2 linked regions of the Coturnix japonica genome follow. The protein of the gene in region 2 purifies or fractionates together with the protein of the main gene of each other region. This does not show direct contact. Links are inferred from orthologs where the notes say so. Each region holds a gene or a part of one and is shown on either strand. Other genes may lie near its edges.

Region 1 (4,270 bases), on a different chromosome or scaffold from region 2:
ATTGAGGCATCAGCAGATCCTGTAGCTATTAGCTGTCCATCTCTGCTATACGTTGCTACACGACACGGTCCCTTATGAGATGTGACATAACAAGTCTCATACTCAGAAGCCTCAGGAGACATGGTCTGTACATCTGCATCAAATTCTAAGTCGATTCCTGTGCCTGGAGCTACTGTATCTGACCGTCCAATTGCATACTGAACAGCACTGTCATCATTCTCCATCCCTGAAAAGAGAAAGTTGACATTCTTAAAACAGGCTTACCTCCTCTTTAGACAGGCAGGCTATGCTCGTATCTATCCTACACACTTCTTTGGTAGCTCTGAAGCTCAGGATTTAGGAGAGAAAGCCCATGCTGAACAAAGCTAAGCTAGCAGAACAGATCTACATGTAGAACAGCAATATCTCTCATGAAGAGCGAAAGGCAGTTTGACTAAACACAGAATAAAGATATAAAAAAAATATTAAAAATAAATACTAAATAATGAAAATTATTACTTGAAACCCATCTTAAAGAATCACTTTGATTTGCATTATGCATCTACATGATATACATATACAGCCAGTTCAGCACTGCAAGCTGCACCAAGGCAAGGACAGACAAGTTTTAAGTGCCCAGCTTCACAGAAAAGTTTGTTCTGCTTTCATCTGCAGACTGCCAAGCCTAGTAATCTTCTTTCAGACTGATGAGGCTCCACACTTTTACCCATAGAAATCAACTAGTTCAAGCAGCAGAACCAGTTCAGTTACAATAGAGAGGAGACATGTTGTCATTGTTAGGACTCTTCCAGCAACCCAGCTGGCTTGTTCCAACAGCAGCTCAGGAATTCTGATTACTTTCTGCAGCACATTCATACTTTCAGGAAGACGCACAGAGAGAACAAGAAACACACCTTTGCCAAGATCCTACACTGTGAAGCTTGTTTCCTGCAGAGTGGTATATAAAGGCCAATGAGGGTGGCCAATGGAAGGACTTACTCCTCCATTCCCAACATGTCCAGGAACAACCACATAGAGTTGTGCTGTAGTAATGGATCTAACTTTCTATTAAATGTGTAGACTTGTGATCCTGTTTAGCACTTCCAGTGCTAAAGAATGAAACACAGGCTACACATAAAGATATAAAAACTCTGTGGTTTGCTACAAAGGCATAGAAAACAGAAGAGATGTGTTCTCAGTAACACCACAGCACTCACAAAGATTGAATCCAAGGATTTGGGAGCACAAACTTTACAGCAGTTCTTTTGTTTTAACCCCATCTTACCTAATTTAATAAGATGCAGCAGTTGTTCAGATGGCGCACAAACTGACTGTGGTTTGATCTCGTTTATTAAACCATTGGCAATATTTATGTATCCATCATACAGGAGCTGACTAATGATTAGCTTATAAAGTTGCTGACGGTCTTTCAAGCTGACTTTTGTCCTATACATTGTGAGCAAGGAATGCCTCGGAGGGGCCTGAAATAAATAAATAGGAAGAGTCACATACAAGAGAGTCGCATGAAATGATTAAAGCTTTTATTTAATGTGAGTATCAGCAGTAATGACACTGAAACTTTAGGTGAGACTGAGAAACGAAAGACAGAGAAAACAAGAGAAATCTGCTGCATCTTTATTGCAGATACAAAAACCCGACGAATAAAAGGAGCAAGGATTGTATTAAGGAGGAAATAACGTGGAGAAAATAAAAAAAATAAGAGAAAAAAAAGCAGGTTTGGGTTATGGGGCTGGTAGCGCCCATTGCTGGCAGTAGTGGGCAGGGGGACGGAGCGGGAGGGGGCGTGTGGGGAACGGGGTTGAATGGGGGCGGGCACAGCGCAGAGCCGGGCGGAGGGAGCAGCTCATTATTGCGCTGCAACGAGCCGAGGCCTCGCAGCCGAACGCGGAGAACGACACGAGGCCGCCGGTACCTACCGACCCTTCCTTCTGCCTCCCTCGCTCTGCCCCTAAAATGGCGACCGGAGCTCTGAGCGCATCGATCGGCGGCGGCGGTAAAGGAGGAGGCGGCGGCGGCGGCCGAGACCGAAGAACGCTCCTCCGCGAGGGCTGCTGCATCGAGCGCCCGCACATCGATTGGAGCCGACTCTTAGGGGAGAGAACGGCGGCGTCACGTCACCGGTGACGCGTTAAGGACGCGACGGGCCGCTCTAACAGGACCCCTGCCTTGTTAAAGGACCCCCCGCCCGGTGGGGAAGGGGCGGGCTGCAGAGCGGAGCCCAGCGGGGATCCCGGGATCCAACGCCCCCTCCACCGTGGCTCGGACCCGGTTGCAGCCCGTGGGGTGACGTGTCGGGCAGGGCACAGCCTCGAGCAGGCCCAGGCGGCCCGTAGACACACAGAATGACCCGGGTTGGAAGGGACCTCAAGGATCACGTAGTTCCAACCCCCCTGCCTGGCAGGGCCACCAAACATACACCTTTACTAGATCAGGTTGCCCAGTACCGCCCCGTGCTGCCCATCGGAGCGTAGAGCTGCTATGAGCACCGCAGCTGGGGGCTGCGAGTCTGTGTTTGGGCTACAATACCCGCACGGTGCTGCCGGACACCGCAACACCTGCCATGGGGCACCACGGCACACAGGCCTCACGAGTGTTTAGGGCCGCCAGCTCAGCCAGCTCAGCCCCTTCCATGTCCCACCGCCACCCAACCCACAGCCCCGTGCTACTCACGTCAGCCTCCAGAAACGGCAGCCGTAGCGGCCGCGGGTCGAGCAGCGGAGCTGCCATGCTCCCCATACTCCCCATGCCCCGCGGCAGCTGCCGTCGGTCACACGCTGCAGCCACGCGACGACCGGACATCTTCTTTTTCCCTATGGTGTCCCGCTTGTCGACACCAACACACCGGGACCGCCCTCGAGCCGGGTCGTTAAGGACGCGGAGCCGCTGATAAGTTGCCTTCAATACCTTCAATCGCTTCTTCAGGCAGCGGGTCCCTCAGTGCTGTGAGACAGAGCAGCACCACGAGCCGCTCCGCAATGCACGAGCAGCACCGGGCGCTGTGCAGCCAACAGCCGGGCGTCCCCTCGTGCTGAGCTGGGTTGGTGCCCCCTTAAGGCTCGTTAAGGGCACGTGGAGCAGCGCCGTGCGAAGCTGAGGCCTGATGCTCCTCCTGCTGCTGCCCGTCGCACCTCAGCACACAATGGCCCCCAGCTCCCACTCGGCTTCACGCGAGGTGGCAGCGCCGCGTCTCCCTCAGCCCCAGGTGACGCTGAGGAGGATCGAGGTGTGAGCCCGGCTGGATGCAGCACTAACCTGGAGCCCTTCACCCCCGAGGCCTCGTTGAGCGGGAGTTGTAGCGCTGCCACAGGTGGGTGGGCTGGACGTAACGCGATTTGCGTAACGAGAGACCGCGGCCGGGCTGAGACTTACGGAGAGAAAGTGTGTGAGCTCGATCCACGCACTTGGAGTACGGAAGAAACAAGCGGCGGACAGACGGTACGTAAAGTACGTATGTAACGTAAACGCCGCCCAAAGGGTGGGCGGGTCGGGACGACGCGGGTACGCAGCGGGCCGCCGTTGCGCATGCGCACCGCAAGCTCACGGCGACGAGTCTAGGCCTCGCGACGAGCGGGGAGTCAGGAGAGCCAATGGGAAGGCAGGTAGACTGAAAAGCGGCCAATCGGAGGGCGCGGATGCCAGGAGAGGAGCCAATGGCGAGGGGGCGGAATTTTAAAGGCTATTTAAGGGAGGGAGGTTTGAATTCAAACAGTTGTAGCGGCCGCGGGCCGAGGTGAGTGTGGGGACGGCTGGGCCGGGTCGGGCCTCGCGTGGTGCTGTGCTGTGGCCTTACCTGCGGCCTTACCTGCCTCGAGGGCGGCCCAGCCGGCGTGTGGTGTGGGTACGGCCCGGCCGTTACGGAGCTGGGGCGGGCAGGCCTAGGGGGAGGCCTAAAGTGAGGCCTAGGGGGCAAAGGGAGAGCAGCACGTCCGAGGAGTGGCGCTGCTTGGAGGCTCAGCCCTGTTCTCTGTTTCATTCTCCATAGGTGAAAGTGTATCTTGCTTTTCTCGGGCACTATGGACAAGAAGATAAAAGAGAACTGTCCTGGGAACCCTTCTCGTGTTATTAAGGTGAGAGGCTTATCGAGTTGATGGGGGTGACTGAGCTTCTGGCTGCTGTTATTAACATCCAATTATTTAATTGGGAAGTCCTAGTAGTGCAGTTTTTATCCCTAATCAACTAATAAGACAGCAAAAACATACAGGCTGTGACTTGCAAAGGACGTGCTGCCTGAATGTTGTATATCTTTGTGCATGCCTTAAGATTACATATC
Region 2 (3,811 bases):
CATAGACATTTGCCTCAGTTGTAGCCTCTAACATTACCTGAGAACACAAGTTTGTTCTAAGTCAAAGTCAACATCCCCAAATGGAACAGTTAACACATAGGCACATACTCCCTGCTGCCAATAACAACATCTAGTAGAATAACACATTAGAGTTTATGACAGTACTACTCTCATAAGCAACGTTTGCAGAGCAGATTATTCAGCTGAGCTGTTAATCAGATGTACTTAATCTCCGAGAAACTGAAATCTGTAACTTGTAAACAGTTTATCACCACTGTATGTTAAGGAAAACATACATAAGTGGACATGGAGGGACTTGCCATTAAATTCAAACATAGATAGAGTTGATTCTGTGAATTATTCCAAGTGACTACACATTCCATATATGATTGGTTAATTCTCAGTACTAATGGGCTTGCAGTTAACCTTTATGTGGGCTAGAACAATGAAAAATCTCAGGCTAACCCAGCAATGTAAATAGTTGCTATTTTTAATAGGAGAAGTAGAGAATATAAGGCTGCAACACATCTTGACAGTGAAGAACAGCTCAGATGACACTTCTCTTTATTTGCTGGGAGCTCCTCTAACATTATGGTATTCCAAGCTCTGGCATTCTTGGGCTGATGTTCTTGGAGTAGAGCACAGCTTCACATATTGCTGCTCTTAAGAATCTGATAAATCAGCACTATCTCCCAGAGAGAGCAGCTAAGAAACAACCTTTGCTAACTCAATTCTACCTTGCAGGACTCCACCCAAACCTCAGCCCAACCAAGGGATGAGGAAACAAAAGCAGTATCAACATTCTGACCTCATCAAATATCTCTAGGTAAAAAGAGTCCACACCCGGAGGAACAGTGCACTGAATAACTTTGTTCCAGCGAGGGTTCTTGGCTCCATTATGTGCTGTGGGGGTTTCATACACAGCGTACCCCAGCCGTATCCGGCAGTAGGGATCCATGCGGGTCATTCCATAGTTCTTTGCCAATTTTGCCTGGAAAAAAAAAAAAAAAAAAGAAAGCCCTTTAAGCGTGTAATATGTACAATAACTTGTGGTTACAATTAGATCACAAAGAATCAAACGTCAAACAAATACATTAAATTGAGGTAGAGAAAAAAAAGTCAATGATGTCATTAAGTGCTTGAGAAAACTTGACAAGACTCTTTTTAAAGTGTCTTGTACAGAAAATACACATCTTCACCAAAGCTAAAATTACCTCATAATAAAACCAGCAGACATATGGTTACAAGGGAATTGTATTATGTTCAGTTTTCGCCTTGATTTCTGCCCTCCAATGGAACTCCACATTGCACGTAGCCTACCCTCTTTTACTGAAATATTTCAAAGGATGAAATAACAGATTTGAGAATATCACACCATGTTTGCTGTAAAAAGAAACCACTTAGAGTAAAATCCAGCTGTTTATACTTTTAAGATATGAGAGCGTGTATTTGATGTTACATAATTCAGAGGGCAACTTCAGTGTGATGGTACTGGAAGGACACAGATACAGCACATAATCTGAAGTTACCCAATATACTTTCATTATAACATCAGGGGAACAGAAAAAAAACAAGTTTGTGACGGTCCTAAAGACAGCACCAAGTACTGCTGCACAGCTATGTCAAGCAGAACACAGGTTTATATGACCTATTGCTCTAACCTGTAAAAGATTGCATAGAATTAGTTTTTATGCTTAAAAAAAAAAAAAGAAAAAAGGTGCCTATGATGCCTCTCATCTGCAGGAGGTTTAAGGAGTTCAAACAGTTGAGATTTGCAACAGATTTAGGCACAGCAGCTGCAGCTCTGGCCAGAAAGGCCTTTCATACTTCAAGACATACACTTACACTGTTCCTTGTAAATGTGGGCTATGCAAATTAAAGTAGGAAAGTTAGCACCCATGTTATTTTTCTCTCTAGACCCTGAAGTCCTGAGATTAAGAAGCTTGACATAAAATGCTACCAGAACACAGCATATAAATTATCAATGTAATAATTTAGGAGAATATAATCAACAGCACTTAAATTCATTACGATTGATGCACAACCTTGAAAACTACACGCTTCCTTAAAACCAAGCAGTTGAGTAGAACATTCAACACAAAGACTTTTGTGGCCACTGACAAAAAAATGACTGAAGTTTCTATTGGTACAATTTATACCTGTACTACAGTAATGCTCAGTCTGCCTACTGTACTCATGGGTCCTCCATATTGCAGCTGTTGAGCTGCCTGGGCGTCCAGTTGGATTTGCTGTTGCTGCCGGGTTGGAGTAATACGAAGAAAGTCTTGAGGAAGTTCACCAACATACACCTGGAAAAAACAATAAAAGAAAAGATTTTAAGCTTAGAGCTCCCACTTTCATAACAAACAATGGAAAGGAACAAAAGACCCAAGAACCTCGGGAAAAACACTCAGCATTTTACTCTAGTTTTGACAGCATGAACAAATAAATAAATAAAGCACCTGTCACACAGCACGGCAGAAAAACAACTAAGCTCATCTCTACTGCCTATAGAGCTGCTTCCATATTTAATAAAAATCTATCTAACGTATGAAGACAAAAGACATTGCAATTTCTTACATTACTGTCTCAGACAGGATTACTCAACTGTGTATCCAGCAAACACATGCCTACAGAACATGCTGTCAGAAGCGAGGAGGCCCCTAGGACATCCCTTTTGAAGATTAGACAGCACTTGCACGCCAAGATTGCATCCTTGAGATAGCAACAGTCACACCAACTGTGATTTGGCAAGAGACGCATTTGGCTCCGTTGAAAAGCCTCAGGGATCCTGGCAGCAGTAGGTGTCACATGGCAGAGAGGAAGTGTATCAAAGCCACTGAAGAGGAAGTGCTGGCTGCCTGCTGCTGGGAGAGATGGGAAAGATGCACTTCTGCTCACACGCATCTTAGAATTTCATGCTGAAAAAGTAATTTTACAGAAGGGAACCATTTTCAAGTGTCTTTAAAGTGCCACTTTACAGAGGCATTCCCTCTACTACTGTAACAGTCCAGGAAGAAGGTGAAATTCAACACCGCCCAATCATTAACTGCGCCATAAAAATTCCATCTAACAGCTGAATTTACTAGATTCATTTTTCATGTAAGACAATTATAATGGCGTCACCATCAAACTTAATTCTTCAGGCAGATGTCGAGCAGGCATTCATAACAGTAAGTCTGCCTTGTAATCACTTCTTAATAAGCTTTACCGACAGCGTTGCAAATCAAGAATATGAATTACCTAGGAACAGAACATCGCGCCTTCTGTCTGCTAGAAACATCTAATACCTCATTTTGAGGTTCTTTAGAGCAAAAACGCAGCAGATGTATCAATCAAACAACCACCACCCACAACCATCAAGTTACTACTCAGACCAATGGCTCTGTGGAGCTGTTCAGGCCTGGGCTGCCTTAGACTCCTCTTCATGTTACCTCTCAATCATCATGCAACACTAAGTGGCACCAAGGCAACTATAAAGGAAGCTTGGTTTACTTGGCTTCCTGATACCCCGTCTAGCCTCAGCAATTTCGATTCTATACAACTAATATTACTGCATGAATCTCCAACTTCTGTAGAACTGTAGCCCAAGGCTCTACTTAAGCTTCTCAATTTAGAGACAGGCAAAGGAAAGATCTACATTTAATAAGCTTTAAAAATTAATAAGCCTTAATGAATAATAAAGCAAAATAAAAAGGGTAGCAAACTGCAAGCTATCAGACAGTTCTTAACTCATTCTCATGATTCTTTTTGCTAGAAATTTACCACCTGCTTTGCTTTCATCCATCTCCAAGCACTTCATGAGTCCAGC

Evidence for each region.
Region 1: the proteins of TOLLIP (region 2) and CSTF1 purify together in Homo sapiens (co-immunoprecipitation; 3 studies listed by BioGRID and IntAct, with this or other methods). This does not show direct contact. The link is inferred for Coturnix japonica from reciprocal best matches to the Homo sapiens genes TOLLIP and CSTF1.

What each region holds. Positions count from the first base shown.
Region 1 is NC_029535.1:10,852,601-10,856,870, forward strand, and holds the start of CSTF1 (cleavage stimulation factor subunit 1), read right to left. Parts: upstream 2,856-4,270; 5' UTR 2,800-2,855; coding exon 2,671-2,799; intron 2,088-2,670; coding exon 1,917-2,087; intron 1,461-1,916; coding exon 1,265-1,460; intron 227-1,264; coding exon 1-226. Other genes in the region: AURKA (aurora kinase A), read left to right, coding at 4,014-4,067. UniProt on the Homo sapiens protein: One of the multiple factors required for polyadenylation and 3'-end cleavage of mammalian pre-mRNAs. May be responsible for the interaction of CSTF with other factors to form a stable complex on the pre-mRNA.
Region 2 is NC_029520.1:9,915,375-9,919,185, forward strand, and holds part of TOLLIP (toll-interacting protein), read right to left. Parts: intron 2,310-3,811; coding exon 2,160-2,309; intron 992-2,159; coding exon 809-991; intron 1-808. UniProt on the Homo sapiens protein: Component of the signaling pathway of IL-1 and Toll-like receptors. Inhibits cell activation by microbial products. Recruits IRAK1 to the IL-1 receptor complex. Inhibits IRAK1 phosphorylation and kinase activity.